2 linked regions of the Arabidopsis thaliana genome follow. The protein of the gene in region 1 purifies or fractionates together with the protein of each later gene. This does not show direct contact. Each region holds a gene or a part of one and is shown in the gene's direction. Other genes may lie near its edges.

The links.
Region 2: the proteins of CLV2 (region 1) and CPI1 purify together in Arabidopsis thaliana (affinity purification with western blotting, with the first as the bait; one study listed by BioGRID). This does not show direct contact.

The regions. Positions count from the first base shown.
Region 1 is NC_003070.9:24,283,072-24,292,120, forward strand, and holds CLV2 (Leucine-rich repeat (LRR) family protein), read left to right. Parts: upstream 1-3,670; 5' UTR 3,671-3,871; coding exon 3,872-6,034; 3' UTR 6,035-6,258; downstream 6,259-9,049. Other genes in the region: AT1G65370 (TRAF-like family protein), read right to left, coding at 1,636-1,781, 1,912-2,075, 2,159-2,426, 2,523-2,628. UniProt on the Arabidopsis thaliana protein: Involved in the perception of CLV3 and CLV3-like (CLE) peptides, that act as extracellular signals regulating meristems maintenance. Required for the sensing of the root CLE peptides (e.g.
Region 2 is NC_003076.8:20,507,180-20,516,432, forward strand, and holds CPI1 (cyclopropyl isomerase), read left to right. Parts: upstream 1-4,487; 5' UTR 4,488-4,676; coding exon 4,677-4,683; intron 4,684-4,768; coding exon 4,769-4,899; exon of another isoform or gene 4,900-5,149; coding exon 5,150-5,233; intron 5,234-5,384; coding exon 5,385-5,426; intron 5,427-5,576; coding exon 5,577-5,687; intron 5,688-5,775; coding exon 5,776-5,967; intron 5,968-6,170; coding exon 6,171-6,268; intron 6,269-6,574; coding exon 6,575-6,647; coding exon of another isoform or gene 6,648-6,752; exon of another isoform or gene 6,753-6,785; coding exon 6,786-6,902; 3' UTR 6,903-7,070; downstream 7,071-9,253. Other genes in the region: AT5G50365 (uncharacterized protein), read left to right, coding at 982-1,383, 1,592-1,597; AT5G50370 (Adenylate kinase family protein), read right to left, coding at 2,203-2,304, 2,380-2,469, 2,567-2,734, 2,822-3,087, 3,332-3,452; EXO70F1 (exocyst subunit exo70 family protein F1), read right to left, coding at 9,203-9,253. UniProt on the Arabidopsis thaliana protein: Converts pentacyclic cyclopropyl sterols to tetracyclic sterols.

The DNA.
Region 1 (9,049 bases):
CTCTAACTCACTCGAGCTGAACACTCTTGTCTTCTCGACATTGCCTTCTGTTGAAGTCAATTGTTGTTGCAACAATAAACCCCCAGTACGTTTGAAGAACTTTCTCTTTTGGTTTAGCCTCATTTGTTTTCTACTAAATTTTATAACCAATATACTCCACCAATGAAGATTAACAAGCCTAACCCTGCAAACCGGCAAAAACAAAATGATTAGATATATCTTGGAAATATAAATACTAAAAAATGAATAACTTCTATTTTATTTTATTTTGGTGTGTTGAATATTAACTTCTTTTATTGCTTGTGTAGATGGTAATATTAATTACTAATGGCTAATTAGGGGTGTTAATTTGTGTAAATTCTCATTTATTTAAATGCGAATTACTTTGATCCATACGGACCTATTTAGACCAATTTATAATTTAAGCAATATATATCACTACAAAAAAACGGCCTTTAACGTCATTTTATTTAGATGTTAACCTCGGTATTTATATGACCTAGTTATAATGACATCCGTATTTAATTGACAATTAATAACATCGGTATTTAACTGATTTTGAGATCTAAAAATAAGAAGAAAACTTTAAATACAATTACTGACCTTGGCATCCGACGTATGGGTTGCCGTTGTAACCGCTATTGCATGCACAACTTGCATATCTTAAATTCACATTATAATCACATACATGGATCAATAAATTCCTTCTTATTGTACTCTGTTAAATTCTGGCATCCCAAAGAGTCTATAAACGAAAGATCCGTAGTGTGAATAAACCATCCTAGCTCAACGTGAGAATATCGTAGAGCATGGATCTGTTGTGGACTGTATCTACCCAACATATCATACGGTTCGTCTGTTAAGAAAGCAAATTTGCACCCTTTAGTTGTTGTGTAACTTGTGTTACTATCTTCTATTTTGACACCAACAGTCAACACGTTGAACCCCATAAGGCATGCTTGCCTTGCAGGCTGCAGCATCCAATAGCATTGCAACTTGTTGACCTGAATAGAACACAAGCGTGGAGTATCCGATTCGTCAGCGCTGCCTTGTTATAGCAATTGATTCTTGCAAAGTAATAATCTGAAGCTATAAGGTTTTTTGCGCCACAACTTGACTTGCATCCCACCACACTTGGCTCGACATTCGTTAAGGATGCCGTATTGTTGCAACCAGCCGCTATAAGTGTTTGTGCTATTTTTCTTATGTATCTCTTCTCTGTTTATAGTCTCAGATTTCTGGTATGCAGGTTGTGGCCAGAGATTCTGTTTTATGAAGCTGGTCCATTGATGGCCTAAAGAGTGAATAGATAAGTTAAGCAGTGAAGGTCCCTAGTTTCTGCAACTTCAAAGAGCTAGAGGAATGTGTTGAGACATTTTGAGATATACACAAACAAAAATTAATAACTAAGAAGTTCATTAAATAAACACATAAAACAGAGTAGTCATACAATAGTCAGATATGCATGATGGACAAAGAGATATTCCTAAATATAGATAGAGCGTTTGGTGGAAACAACTTCACATTCAGTTCTACGCTTAACACAAATAGTCCTAGAGTAGTAGACATGGCATGATAGCTAAATAGATATAGATAGAGTGTTTGGTGGAAACAACTTCACATTCTCTTCTACGCTTAAAACATTTTCCTAGAGTTCACAACTTCACATTCGATCTCCACATTCAAAGTATCTTCATCCAAGTAAGCCTCCTGAAGATCAGCTAAAGACAAGGATTGAGGAATACCCCTCGCTTTGGTCGCTGCCATGATCCATTGTTGAACTACAAGAACAAGGAATCAATGTCGTCAAAAGAGTTGGGACATTTGCTTATTGAAAATGTCATCAGTATCATCCATCAAGGCAAGACATAAGCATTGTGAAAATAGTAATATCAATAGTTTTTGACTTACGCCAGACTGTTTTGTGTTTGGATCCACGCGGGTCTAAAGCCCTTAGTTGTGCTCGCACGGAAATCATCTCACCAGGCGATAAGACTTCACCGTCAGCTAAATGCAAGTACTTGCAGAACTCGTTATCTGCCTCAGAGTCTCCCTTTGGATACACAGTTAGAGTCCTGTAAAACATTATCATCCACTTGTTAGCAAGTTACCACTAATACACTCATACAACAATATCTATCAGAAGGAAAAAACTCACCAATTCTTTCCTCCCATTGCAAAGGTTTTAGATATGCAATCATTCTGTTTCAGAACAGAGAAATCACGAATGCTCCAAGAGAATTTGTGAAAAGGGAGATTCTCATCAACAGGGACGGGTGATGAAGCAATCTTCACATGAGCACCAAACTCACATGGTTCTCCTTCCACGATAAATCCCTTTGCAGGGTCAGTGAATGTTTCAAGCGACATAGCTTTTGGCAATCCCCAAACCGTTTTAGAAGAACTGAAACGCTTAACTTCAACATCTACATGTTTACACGTATACACACACATTACGATTCATTCATTCATATATACATACGAGAGAAAAAGAGAGATAATAAGGATTTGAGCATACGAACCTTGGATTGAGAGGTACTTGTTGTCTTTCTTGTTAAAGACAAAGAAAGAGAGATAATCAAACACATCAATGGGTGGTGTTGTGGATGAGAGACATTCCACATACATAGACACAAAGCCCTTTCCATTGTCCTCTTCGTTTCCTTTTGGGTAAACAACCAATCTCCTGATTTTTACAAAAAAGGCAACATTTCTTAGTTATATATGCTTGTAGTGAAGAAAGATGTGAAAGTCTGACAAGAGAACAAGACGAAGGAGGAGTCTTTCTCCAAGTCTTCAACATTGCAGAATCTGATGCATATGAACCCATTTTCTCTACAAAATGTTGCAACCCTAGAGAGCAAAACAAAACATACCCATAATCAGAAATGATCTGACGAAAATCGAGTTACAATACACAAGAGAACATTTTTTTTAGAATTCTCAGATATTAAAAATGACACAGAAAGCTTTATGCTTTTTCCTCTTAAAAGACTAAACAAGTTGAAATCTAGAGAAAGAACTGACCAACCTGAGACAACGAGAGAGACTTGAGAGATTTCTTCGGCACTTACTATTAGATCTAGGGTTTAGATACCATTTATATAGAGAAAGTTTTAGAGTTGCACAAAACATAAATTAATGTGTTAGAATGGGCCTAAAGCTACAAAGCTGGCCTGGTTTTGTTTTAAATTGTTGGTTTCATGGACATTTTCGACATCTTCGAACATGTTATTTTTTGAGACTATGCAAACTTGAAGCTCTTTACTCGAGTTGAAATCGTATGACTTATAGTGAAATTGTACATTTGGTTTCGATTTTTCTTTTACACTCTTTCTTCTTTGAGCCGGTAAATTTGGAATTTTTCTTCATAGTGGAATCATATGCTGTTTTTTTTTTTTATAGTAAACGTTACAAGAATGAATGGTAACTTTATCCAAAAAAAAAGAATCATATTATTTTGAAATGATTTTAAGTAAATTCTAGGTTCAATAACATAAGATTTGAGACTAAATTTAAAATTTCTTAGTAAAATATATGATTTTTTTATAAATACCTATAAAATTAGTAATTAACAATACGGATTACGTACTGAATCAAACCCTTTGTATTTTGTTTTTCCTAGAAATAAGTGTAGATTTTTGGAATTTTGCATTAATTAATCACTTCTTGGGTCTGAAAGGCTAAAACAAAAGGAACCGAAAGAGAATGTTCTCTCTGTCTTTATCTTCCACTTCCACTTCCAGGTCGCGTTGCTTCACTCTCCATTGCAAAGAGAGGTCTCTGCGATTTCTGCAACTCACCCCTGAAACCTTCTTAATTTACTTCAACTGCCGCTATACCTAAAAACTTCATCTTTCTCCTCTGAGCTATGATAAAGATTGCAGATTTCACTCTCTTCTTCTTTATCTTCGTCTTCTCTCCCTCGTTGCCTCTAGCTCAATCTCAGCTTCCCGATCTCGACCCACAAGACAAAGCTTCTTTATTGATATTCAGAGTTTCGATTCACGACCTAAATCGAAGCTTATCGACATGGTACGGCTCATCGTGTTCTAACTGGACAGGTCTAGCTTGTCAGAATCCGACCGGAAAAGTTCTCTCCCTCACTTTATCCGGTCTGAATCTCTCCAGTCAGATTCACCCATCTCTTTGTAAGCTCTCTTCTCTTCAAAGCTTGGACCTTTCTCACAACAACTTCTCTGGAAACATTCCTTCTTGCTTCGGTTCGTTGCGTAATCTTAGGACACTTAATCTTAGTCGGAATAGATTCGTTGGTTCGATACCCGCCACATTTGTAAGTCTTAAGGAGCTTAGAGAAGTTGTTCTAAGTGAGAATAGAGATTTAGGCGGTGTGGTCCCTCATTGGTTTGGTAATTTCTCAATGAATCTTGAGAGAGTTGATTTTAGTTTCTGCTCGTTTGTTGGAGAACTACCTGAGAGTTTACTGTATTTGAAGTCTCTCAAGTACTTGAATCTTGAGAGCAATAACATGACTGGTACACTCAGAGATTTTCAGCAGCCATTGGTGGTTCTTAATCTTGCTTCAAATCAGTTTTCCGGTACGCTACCTTGTTTCTACGCCTCTCGTCCGTCTCTTAGTATTCTGAATATAGCTGAGAACTCTCTGGTTGGTGGATTACCTTCTTGTTTGGGTTCTTTAAAAGAGCTGAGTCATTTGAATCTATCTTTCAATGGCTTCAACTACGAGATATCTCCTAGGCTTATGTTTTCAGAGAAGCTTGTGATGTTGGACTTGAGTCACAACGGGTTTTCAGGTCGTCTTCCTAGTAGAATCTCGGAAACAACTGAGAAATTGGGTTTGGTTCTTCTTGACCTCTCTCACAATAGCTTTTCTGGTGATATACCGTTGAGGATCACAGAGTTGAAGAGTTTACAAGCATTGCGTCTCTCTCACAATCTTTTAACTGGAGATATTCCTGCTAGAATTGGTAATCTGACATATCTCCAGGTCATTGATCTTTCCCACAACGCGTTAACCGGCTCAATACCTCTCAACATTGTTGGTTGCTTTCAGTTACTTGCTCTGATGATAAGTAACAACAATCTCTCTGGCGAAATACAACCCGAGCTTGATGCGTTGGATAGTCTAAAGATACTGGACATAAGCAACAACCATATATCCGGTGAGATCCCGCTTACTTTAGCTGGTCTGAAGTCTCTAGAGATTGTGGATATAAGTTCCAACAACCTCTCGGGGAACCTTAATGAAGCCATTACCAAATGGTCCAACCTCAAGTATCTTTCTCTTGCCCGGAACAAGTTTAGTGGAACACTTCCTTCTTGGTTGTTCAAGTTTGACAAAATCCAAATGATTGACTACTCCAGCAACAGATTCTCTTGGTTCATACCAGACGATAACTTAAACAGCACACGCTTCAAAGATTTTCAGACCGGTGGAGGTGAAGGATTTGCTGAGCCACCAGGAAAAGTAGAGATCAAAATATCAGCAGCTGTTGTTGCTAAAGATGAATTAAGTTTCAGCTACAATCTATTGTCTATGGTTGGGATCGATCTTTCTGACAATCTATTACATGGAGAGATCCCAGAAGCTTTGTTCAGACAGAAGAATATTGAGTACTTGAACTTGTCCTACAACTTCCTTGAAGGTCAGCTTCCACGTCTAGAGAAGCTGCCAAGGTTAAAGGCCTTAGATCTTTCACACAACTCTCTGTCAGGTCAAGTCATTGGAAACATCTCAGCTCCTCCAGGACTAACCCTACTGAACCTATCGCACAACTGTTTCTCTGGTATCATTACCGAGAAAGAAGGGCTCGGGAAGTTTCCAGGGGCGTTGGCCGGAAATCCGGAACTGTGTGTGGAAACTCCCGGAAGCAAGTGTGACCCGGCAAACATTGATGCATCACAAGAGGAAATATATCAAAACGAATTGGTGGAAGGACCGATATCTATTTGGATATTCTGCTTAAGTGCGTTTATTAGCTTCGATTTTGGAGTGTTAGGTATCTTTTGCTCAGCTCGTGCTCGTAGTTATATTCTTCAGACCAAAGCTTAACTCCAGAGACTGATTGATGTATATTCAGTTGTAACACATGCATGTATGTTGTTGGTCTGAGCTGTGAAGTGGAAATGCTCGCTTTTAACTAAAGTCTCTCCCAAATGTTGTTACTTGTGTATATAGTTTGACCGGTTAACCTTTACATGAACCGTATTGGGTTCTTGTTCTGTTTGTGATTCAAGAAGTGATTAGACTCAATAATCTAGTACTATCTATCTAAACACATCGAAACTCGAGTCAGTGAGTAGTGGTGTTCATTTCGGAGATTAGGACAGGAAATGGTGGGTAATGATCAGGAACATACAATTTGGGTGTTTAAATGTATAATCCACGAGTACAAAAAATGATAATCGAAAATCAAACCGAACGAAATGAATAGAAAAAAACAGAGATATGGAGATCAATTAAAGTTTAGTAACAGATCTAACTAGCTAGAACCAATTTAATTTCTAACAATCTCGGTTTCAACTGAAATATGGTTTCGGAGAACCTGTGATAACTTTGCCAAAACCATTCACTAAACCATAACCAGGTTAATACTTATCTGAGTCAGAACAAGAATTCCGAAGGTTTGAAGAGCTGACCAAAGAACAAAACGGTCCCGGTTTTGTCTTCTCGGATAAGGAAAATAAATGGATGATCAGCCACAAAATCTATCTTCTTAGGAGGTGGCCCCATATCAAGAGCACAACCGTCATCTTCTACATCAGCAGTTGCAGCCGCAGCTTCAGCACCTTCTTCATCGATCTCGACACAAGCTTTATGGTACATTGACACTGAATGCAGTACTCCCACTTGATTCAAAACGCTTGTAGCAGAAAAACCGAATTCGATCTTAAACTTTGGAATTCTAAATTCCTCAAGTTCAACTTTGTATCTCGGAATGTGACTATCCAAGAATCCAGGTGTAGATGCTATTTTCTTCAAGAGATAATCCAATCCATCTTTCTTGTCAGGGAGATAGAAATACATTGAGAATTTGCGGTTGGTATCATCACGGCCTCGTCGGTAAGGACCTTGAAACCGTTATAAGCTCTTACTTTTTGTGTCTCGTAGCTGGTCATGAATGGCACAGAGACTGTAGTGCCATTGACCATGTGGAAGTCTCTGTCTTTTGTATAGTACTTTTCAAATGGTCTCTTCCAAGCTCCCTTGAAATACAATGCGTTTGCGTAAATCTTGTTGGTTCGGCTTGTCACAGATTCACGAGGAAGAAGATCTTTGATGAGATTATTGGTGTGATCTTCAACCCATGAATTCACCTCCTTACGCACTTCTTCAGCCTTCAAACAAAAAAAACACATATTGGATGATTTTTGAAAACAGTCTCCTAATTCGAATTATGATTTGGGAATCAACATACATTACGAACTATTAGGTTTCCAATTTGACTGGTTGAGTATGTTCTTTAAGTCAAACAGCTATTACACACTTCATCTAGAAACACCAAATAACGTTTCTGCAAAACCCTAATTATATTTCTTCGAAACCCTAGTTTCTTTTTTGCTGTTAAAGTGGAAAATTACCTTTGATCGGAAATCTACGGGAACGTAAACAGCCTTGAAGAAGTTCTCGAAGAGAGCCTTGTATTTGGGATCAATCGGTAGTGATTTCTCAATCCAGAGGCCATTCACCGCCCTCATCTTTGGGCCGCCACTAGCGCTGCTGTCGGCGTAGACGATGGATGATAGTTCTCGGAAGACGGATTTGAGCTCATCGATTGAAGAAGATCTGAGGAAGGAGAGGATTTCACCGGCGACTAAGCCACCTCCGGAACCAGCGGCGTGCATGGTGATCGCAGAGTTTATTGACGCCGGCGAGAAGATGACGTTAGATTCCGACTCAGAAGATAAGACGTGCCTCCCAAGGATCATCGCGACGTCGTTTTGCTTCTTCATAGCCTTTTTCACATTCATCTTTGGTCTCTCCAACTAGATAGAGAACTTGCAAAAGGGTGGAGGATTATGCATGGTCTATGGAGGGACAGTTATATATAGTGAACAAATCCATTAAGAAATTTTTAATTATTATTAGGGTTTCTTGGAAAACTAGTCACTTTGCAATCCAGGTGTATAAATCAAACACTTAAAAATGACTACTTTGCAAATTGTAAATAGTAATATGACTACTTTCCCAAATATGTTTGAAAAAATTAAAATGATTACTTTTCACTTATCTCAAATTATTTTTACAATGGAATATAAATAGATTTTTCTATACTAAACCTCTGTAAATTAATACTCGATAAGTTCCACTTCAAAAAACGAACCAAAGGTCATATTTCATCCATGCATGTTCGAACATGCAAAGAGAACTTACTAATAATGTTTGGTCCCAAATTCAAGTATTCTCTGGTTCTCTTTGCATGGATGAAAGAAGATGGCCATATTTTTATAGGAATGTTCAGAAGGAGAATTCACAATGTGGAGAAGATAGTGCTACTGGTTTATATTGAAGTCAGGTTAAGGTTTATGATAGTTTCAAGGACATTGATGCGGACTAATTGGCATCAGATAGTCGTGCTTCCAAGACTAATATCAGGCGTAATGGGTTTTACTAATACGATTATGAAACAGCCTCAAGAAAAAAGGCAAAAAAATCGTATTGGAGCAAAAAAGTCGAAGAAATATCACGAATATGTGTTTTCGTTAGCGAATAAGGCGTTTTCGTCCAAAACGCATCGTGAATCTTATTTTTCGTATTTTTTTCAGAAAATGGCTCACATATCTGCTTGTGTAATAATTTTGGTTCTGTAGTCTTGTATAACTTTAACACTTTAATTTCGATATAATGGAATGATTTTAAAAGGAAAAAAAAATAATAAAAAAGAAGTAAATAAATCGATTTTTATTAAATTAGAAAACAATTTAATTTTGGATTGAAAAAAATTAACGTACTAGTTCAAAACGCCAAGTTAATATCTCGGATAGTCCTACTTTCTCATGATTCAGTTCTTTATAGACCATCTAAATCAATCCGTCTATGGATCTAAAATCGTTCTTGAAACTAACA
Region 2 (9,253 bases), on another chromosome or scaffold:
ATGTATATAATTGGTGGAAAATATAAGTAGTATAAAATATGCATATCTACTATTTTTTCAATGTTCCGGATTTCGGTGAGTTATAACAAGACTGTAACCTCATAAAAGTTTATAGACCATGAATATAGAACACAGTGCAGAATGGAAATGTTATAACCGGCCGAAGTTAAATTTTCCATTATAATTATTTATTTTGTGTAATTATTGATTAAAATAAGAAAATGAGTAACTACTATTATGACGGTCCAAATTCTAACAGAGAAATTATGAATGCCATGTCAGATAAATGCACAAAATATGTTGTGGTTAAACAATTGCAATGTGGTCATAATTTTTATTTTTTATTCAATTTTTTTACAAAAAATTTGTTAAAAAATAAGAACATTTTACTGCTTATAAGAATGTTTTGATAATTATTTAACCAACCATTTTTCTTGTAAATACTTTATATTTTATTAAGATTCACTTTTATGGTTTGTAAAATATTTTTATAGTTTTGAAATAATAAACTTGTAAATTCATAAAATTATAGTTTAACTTTAGTTTTCTGATTCTTAAATATTGAACAATAACTAATAATATTACCAATTCATAGTTCCAGTGCCAACTCTTTAAGATAAATTAAATTGCATATATATATTGCATTATGGACTGAATGTGTGTATATGTAACTATGAAGTATATGAACATGACGATGCCAACTCTTTAAGATAATTTAAATTTGATTGTTCATTGGAATCCAAATTCTTGAAATTTGACAACTTTAATCTTAAATTCATCAAAATAAGATAATTAAACCCGTATTTTTTAAAACTACAAGAAATAATTAAAAAAGAAAGAAAGAAATGTTGATGCATATTTTATTGAACACTAGCACACTAATAAAACGCTCCTGTTTTTATTGTAGCTAGAACTTTGGTTGGATTATGATTTACACTAGATTTGCTTTAAAAAAAAAAGAAATTCAAGACATATTTTTTTATGGATTTAAAGTTTTTTTTTTTGCTAGTTCTCATTGGAGGAATTGGAACATTCTTAGGTAACATTCCTAAAACCAGACGTTGTGATGGTCACCATAAATTCATATTTGCGTTGTGTGCAACCGGTGGTTCTTTGGTACTAGGTCCTGAGGGTGGAACAAACCATCTCCTAACTAGTGGTTCTTTGGTACTAGGACCTGAAGGTGGAACGAACCATCTTGTACCCGGTGATTCTTTGGTACTAGGTCCTGAAGGGGGAACGAGCCATCTTGTGACGCGTATTGGATCAACTGATTTTTTAAGCAAACTTTCGGACTGTCGAAAATCTTCAGATTCATGTAAGAGGCTCTTCTTGTTGGCTTCAAGAACACCAACAAAGAGGAGAACAAACAATGCTATCACAGTAAAAAAATTTGATTTCGTCATTACAAGATACTTTTACAAATTGTTAGAACTATTGACTATGTTTAAGTTTTATAACATTGTCATAAATCTTATCTTATCATCTTAGAACTAAAGAATAAGATTTAATATTTTCTAATATGGAATGTGTTCTAAGTATGGTACACTGAAGATATTTTCCCGAAAATATTCTTTTTAATATATAGTAGATTTGACTGAAAAAATATAGGCAAAAACTATTATTTAAATAAATAATAAGAATACAATTCAACATTTTATACCCCAAACATTTTCAAAATTTATCTTACCATCCAAGTTCATTGAAGCTCAAATTGTAATGATGATATCTTTATTCAAATATATGAATTACTTGTATTTTATTCCTTTTTTTGTTATCCAAAATAAATCTATAAATCTGAAAAACTTGAATTTCACTAACTATGGTTTCATATCGCTTATCTCATTGTGATGATGAGATGATCTATATACAATTCCGTTGGAATCTGTTGGATTCCTGCTCTACCAATTCTTACAGTTGATCACCAATTCTTTATAAGCTACCATTTTGTTTTCAATGTTATGCGATTCTAATGTTTTCAATCTTCCACTATTTTACTACGATTTTGTTTTTCCTTTATTCACCTGACATTTCCAGTCGCAAACAATAAGCCTTAGTGAAACACACTGCACAAAACTGCAGCAAATGTTGCTCTCAAGACAAAAGACATTCCGGGGGAAACAAATAAAAAAACTCAGGAGAGTTATTTAAGATAAGCAAAAAAAGATACATCTTAAACTGATGCCATTTCGTTTTTCAGTTTCATGTAGACACAACCTTCTTCACCACTTTTGTAACCTCTTCCGGGGCCTTCTCTGCCGGTATGTTCACCAGATTCTCCTTCTTCGCATAATAGTCAATTACCTGCAACAACAACAACAAGAACAAATGTCAAATTCTCTGATAGTCCTCAAGTTCATGTACTATAAGGAAACATACCGGTTGCGTCTGCTTGTGGAATGCATCTAGCCTTGATCTAAGAACATCCGCATTGTCATCTTTACGTTGAATCAATGGCTCTCCAGTCAGCTAACAAACAACGAAGTTGATACAGAGATCAAATCACAAGAGAGAACTCGATTTACTAAGTCAAAATGATGAATCAGAATTTGATGGTTTTTCTTACATCATCGACTCCTGGAACTTTAGGAGGTGCGAATTTAGTATGATAGCTTCTTCCACTTGAAGGGTGAATCCACCTTCCAGTAATTCTTTCTTCGAGAACCGAATCATCGATCGCAAAATTAAGCACCTTATCTATCTGAGCTCCCCTTCTATTAAGCATCTCATCAAGCTACAAGATTTATAAACAAAAAAAGTCAGAACATTTACAAGAGCGAGCAGATACACAAACAACTAACCACAGAAAAGAACCAGAAACCTTCTCTGCTTGAGTCACAGTCCGCGGGAACCCATCAAGAATGAAACCTTTCTGACATTTGGGTCTGTTCATTGCTTCATCCATGATACCAACAACCAAGTCATCAGAAACAAGCTCTCCCTTATCCATTGCTTCCTTTGCCTTCACACCAAGAGGAGTCTTAGCAGCAACAGCAGCTCTAAGCATGTCACCAGTAGACAAATGACACAAACAAAACTCATCCTTTATGACCGGAGACTGTGTACCTTTCCCTGAACCAGGTGGACCTGCAAATTCCAAATCATACATGAACCAAAACTCAATTCTTCCTTTCTATTGAACCAAAAAACACAAATTCACAATCCCTTCGCTATGATCATCAGATAAAGCATTAACGATAACAGCAAAATGCAATTTTTACACACTAAAACAGATAAAAATCGGAACTTTCGCTACACAATTTTCACAGAGATCAAACCTAAAGTACCGATTGAGTGAAAGATTCAGAGGTAACGAAAGAGATGATTGTACCGATGAAAACGAGACGTTTGTCAGGTTTAGAGGCACATTTCATACGGCGAAGAAGCTCAGACATGAGATCAACAGTCTGAATATCTTCCATATCAACAGAAGCCGCACTGCTCGTTGCCATGTTCGTCGTCGTCGTCTCTTACAAGAGAATTAGATTTGGTCCGGTGGAGTTGTGTTCTCTTTTTGAAGTGCGTGTATTGGATTCGATGCTTCCAATGTTTTCTTTCACCGTTTTACGATTTTACCCTTAACTGTGCCAACAACTACAAAGGCCTGCCCTTCGAACAACAACAACCTGCCTGGGGTTGGTGACACACCCAACTCTGAAAACGAGTCTTTCTTCTTACACATCTAATATCGCACATTTTTCATAATTACATAAAATCAAATATCATATAATACTTCCAACAAACCATTATGTTTTAGGTCAAGTGAACCAAAAAAAGCGGACTAGAAAACATAGAATAAGTAGAGTCTAACACATTTTTTCGGTTTTAAGGCACGATGGACCGGTCATTTGTCCAATTAACACTAGTGTTAAGAAACTTAATTTGATATTAAGTACTGAGGTTGAAGATTTTGCTAGTTTATGGTAGACTTATGAATATCAGTATACCACTAGACCACATTCACTTTTCGTCAATAAGACAATTAAACTCTTGAAAACCCACATTTTTCTTTTTTTTTTTTGAAAGCCAAACTCCATCAATGTTTGGTTATTAAAGATATGAATGAATACTACATCATTAGTTTCTTTCTTGATAATTTTTGTATATTTATTTATTAATAAGTTTTTGTATTTTTCTAAATTCTTAACATTAATAAAAGAGTTTTCCAAAAAATGCAAAATAATACTATAAAATTCAAAATAGTACATAATATAAGCTTTTTTTTTTCCAACTTTACATATATTGTAAACGTTTTTACGATCACATACATCTGCTTTTTGAAAATTCTAAAAATATAAATAAACTCTTTACCTCAAAAGTTTCAATTTGCTATATACATTTTTTTAAAATCAAATTTAACAATAAAAAATAAAATTAGATTACATATTATTTTAGAATTAAATTAACATAGGCCCACTTCTTATGTTGGGAAAAGGGAACAACAAATATAACAATTTAGCAACAAAGAAGTAGAAAAAAGAGGTGATGTCATAATAAACGGTAAAATAATAGGAACGATGAGCGAGCGGATCTAGCTTTCGTCAAAATCATCATCACTGAGTACATCTGCCACGTCAGCTTGATTGGGATCTATTTGGTCGCCCGTACACAAAATCTCGGCTCACTCACTCACACTACTCAAGTCAACGTTTCTAAGATTCTCCGGCGGAGCGATTATGTCAGGTAAAACTATCGCCGATCTCTTCTTCTTCTTCTGATTCGAATCTCTCGTCCCCATTCCCTGATTTTTTTGATTTACATTTGATAGGATCTTCTTCACCGAGCTTGTGGCTGGCACCGAATCCGAGCAAGAGATGGGGAGAGCTCTTCTTCCTCTTCTACACTCCTTTTTGGCTCACTCTCTGTTTAGGCATCGTTGTTCCTTACAAGCTTTACGAGGTCTATGCGATCATCAAATGAGCATTGTTTTTAAGTGTCTGATGTATTTAGGAGACGATGAGACAGAGTTGAAGTAGCTATTCACTTTTTTTTATCTGCTAAATTAGATCAACAAAGTTTATGAAATGATGTCTCATTGTTTACCATGTCAGTGTTTTAGAGATCTGAAAATTTTACTGTTGTATGAAGTTGTCTTTTAAGTGGTATTGAAGAAGTACTAATAAGTGTTAGTTACTTTGCAAACTAGCAGACATTCACGGAGTTGGAGTATCTGCTTCTAGCTTTGGTTTCAGCTGTTCCTGCTTTCGTTATACCCATGTTACTCGTTGGAAAGGTTACTTTTTGACAACTTTTGCTTTCACTGTGAGCTAACGTGTTCGTGGTGCTATACTTGTTTGTCTACTAGCTACTTGCTTCCAATTGAATGCAAATCTCTATTGTTTTCCTTACCATATGGACTCAGAATATATGCATTATTCTTTCAGGCCGACAGAAGTTTATGTTGGAAGGACCGCTATTGGGTTAAGGCAAGCTTTTTTTCTATGTGCATGACATTTTGGCTTGCCAGTTCTAGTTTCAAACTATTTTTAGAACTTGTTTTAACTTCCTTGAGTACTGGTGAGAGTTCTCAAGATCTCATCCATAGTTGTACTGATTGGAACATGTTTTTACCACAGGCAAATCTCTGGATAATTGTTTTCAGCTATGTCGGAAACTACTTTTGGACTCACTATTTCTTTAAAGTTCTTGGAGCGTCCTATACTTTTCCATCATGGAAAATGAATAATGTAAGCACAGCATTATCTCGGCAGATTTGTTCTATTGAGTAGTTTTCTTGTTTCCATGAGCTTATGGCAGGGGTTTTGTGTTGAACAGGTGCCTCACACAACATTCTTCCTAACACATGTTTGCTTCCTCTTTTACCACGTTGCATCGAACATTACTCTTCGGAGGCTACGCCATTCCACTGCTGATTTACCAGATTCTCTGAAATGGTGTTTTGAGGCTGCATGGATACTTGCGCTTTCTTATTTCATTGCATACTTGGAGACTATTGCTATCGCAAATGTACGTTGTGATGTCTACATTTCTTTGATAATTTCCTATAAAAAGAGCTCTCTACTTGGTGTTTTATCATATATCACAAATTCCTCTTATAGTCTGCTTAAAGACTACGTTTATCTACTTAATCATTCTAGAATCTTGTTTAGAAACTAGTCACTTGACAATAACCGCTCATATGTTCTGTTTTTGTTTTCAAACTTGTGCAGTTTCCTTACTATGAGTTTGTGGACCGAAGTGCCATGTACAGAGTTGGATGTCTTTTCTATGCCATTTACTTCATTGTGAGCTTCCCAATGTTCTTCAGGTAAAGAAAGCATAGTTTTCTATCATCTCATAGAAGCAGTGAATCTTTTCACCTTCATGACTGTTGCATATCAAAACTGAGACAAGTGATAGTTGTTAGATACACCGGATTAATTGATTGAATTTTCTTGAGAGTCTTAAAATATAGGAATTAAAGACTTAAATGGAGAACCAGGTCTTTCTCAAGTGTCTTGAGGAGTTCTTTGAACAGTCTCTGTGATATGCTTCCGTCTCACCTTCTTATTGCTATTTGATTACCTCGAGTTGTTGTCTATCTGTTTTCATATGTTTTATTCATTGTTTGCAGGATGGATGAGAAATCAACTGATGAATGGGATTTATCTCGAGTGGCTGTTGATGCTTTGGGTGCTGCTATGTTGGTAACAATCATTCTTGATCTATGGCGTCTCTTCTTGGGACCTATAGTTCCCTTACCGGAGGGACAAAACTGCCTTCAGTCTGGATTACCATGGTTCTCCAATTGAAGATTGAAAGATCGGTTACTTCCACCAATTCAGGGAATTGACATGGGACTGAGAGAGAAACCTGCAAAGGAATTTCCATTAACACTTTACGGAATTGGGAAGCAGTTAATGCAGGGCATGTTTCTAAGGCTTTTCTTCTCCAACTGCTGATTTGTTTGTTAGTTGTTTTTGGTTTTCAGTTTCTCTTGATGAACTTTCCCAATGTAACCTTTCAAGTTATCCTTTATAGAACAGAATGGAACTTCGTTTTTTGTTGTGGACTCGATATATTGGTTCGTCCTCTTAAGTTCATTAAAACAAGAAAGACCATAACACCATTGAAAGAACCAAAACTTGATATTAAATGGTAAAGTCTCATCACATGAAGTAGCTAAGGGCTTACTTTACTTCTGCAACCTCCCCCGTAGCATTTGTTCCATTGTTGTAGTCACTAACTTATATGGGACGACTGTTGCAGTGCATAACTGCAACCACAATCAGAACACTAATCTCTGGTCCAAGATCAACATTACCTGGTCCTGTGACCATCCATGATTCCTTGAACAAGTACACGTTCTCAGTTCTTTGTCCGTAGACCGGTTAGTAGTGGGAGATAGAACAAGACTGCTCTCCGTTTTTGTAATCTTTGCATCTGAGAATATTAAGGAGATACGACTACTAACCGTAAGAGTTTACTTGTTCATATATGTCATAGTTTTAATGTGGTTTGTAATGAGTCTTTGGAGTGTAAGAGTTTAAAAATGATTTAATATAAGATCTAAGTCTCATTCACATAAGATAACCCTGTTTCAAGATACAACAACAATTCTATTATAGGAGCATCCTTCAACTTTTAAATATAAAAAACATAAAACACTGAATCAGAATCATACTGATACTAACTCAGGTTTATTGTAGTTTCTTGAATAAAATCTGGAAAGAATAACAAAACATTACTGCCACAAGATCAGAAAATGAAACAACCCAAAAATATTTCAAGAGTGTTAAGTTGCCATTATTGTATCATCAAAATAGTACTGCCACTAATGCTTTATACCATCAATTAATGCATGACTGACCTCGTTTCTTCTAACCCAAGTATATGCTATTCACAGAACAAGAAAAATACTTCCCTGAATCCAGACTAAATCACACTAACTCATATATCAACACGAAGGAGAAGAGTATGGACCAAGAAAATTGAGAAATCCAAACTCCGATTAAGCCATTAAGGCAAAAAACCATCCATGCAAAGAGACATATAAATTCATAGGGAGAGAGACAAAAACACGTAGCAATAAAAAAGCAAATGAGTACAAAACAAAACAAAACAAAATAGAAGATTGTGCAATGTAACGCAAGGACTCATGAAGATCATCATACCTTTGCTTTGAGAATCAGGATGGACAACTTCAGACTTGTGTAACCCCTTCTTTTTCGTCAAGATTAATTACTTCTTTTCGAATTCAACGTGAATGTAAAAATCTCTAGAGATCAAATTTTAAAACATCAAGCAGTCTAAACATTAAACAACATCAGCTTAACACAGTTTAAACGCATTAACCACTTTATAAAATGTTGAAACTATTTTTGTAACCCACAATATTATAAAACGCATGTTTCTTGTTTTCTAAAGAAAATCTAAATTTTGAATTGATCAATTTTTTGTCCAAATCTTCTATGATTTCCTTAGGGAGAGCCACAACCTGATTCCAAGCCCAAGAAGAAGGATGCTCCACGTTTTAAAGTTAATCTTGGAAGCGAGCGACAATGCTTGGGATGGAATGTTAAAGGTAGCAGATGCATACTCTGTTATCATAGTCTATGTCAAAGTATGTGGATATGAATAGTTTCCATGGTCGTACTTGTCCAAGAAACTTGGATTTGTATTTTGTAGCTACTCGAACACAAAACTTGAAACCAAGAACATTTTTTTTGGTGCCAATAAAATAACACACTGGTCTAAGTGACATGTATGTTTTTATGAGATTTGCTCTCCAATGTGGCTCAACCTGTGTTTTCTTTGGGTATATACATACTGGATTTTTGGCCGAAGTCTTGGAAACAGATTATATCTGTGATTTGGAAAATGCGGAATCACCCACTATTATAAACTGAAATTTTCTTAACTTATCATTTCTATGCAACAAACACACTTTTACTATCAAATCTAAGTACAGAGATACGTTACAACAAGAAAGTAATATCATCCAGCTCCATATATATAGCAAAGACCATTTGATTCAAGAGCATAATCATTATATAAAACCCATGGTCATAACATGATAAGTATTAAGACATGTACATAAGAATTTTGACAGTGTATAAAAAGGGTGTAAGCCCGACTTTCACATATATAACTTAAACCCCTGACTTATATGTTACCTGGCCACTATCATCTTTCAAACAGACAAGATTGTCCTTCAAGCAAGAGAGTCCTCGTCAATCGTCATCATCTTCTAGCAAGAGCCTTAACTTTTCCTTCTCGGGTGGTGAATAACCAATTGATTTCCTTCAAATAG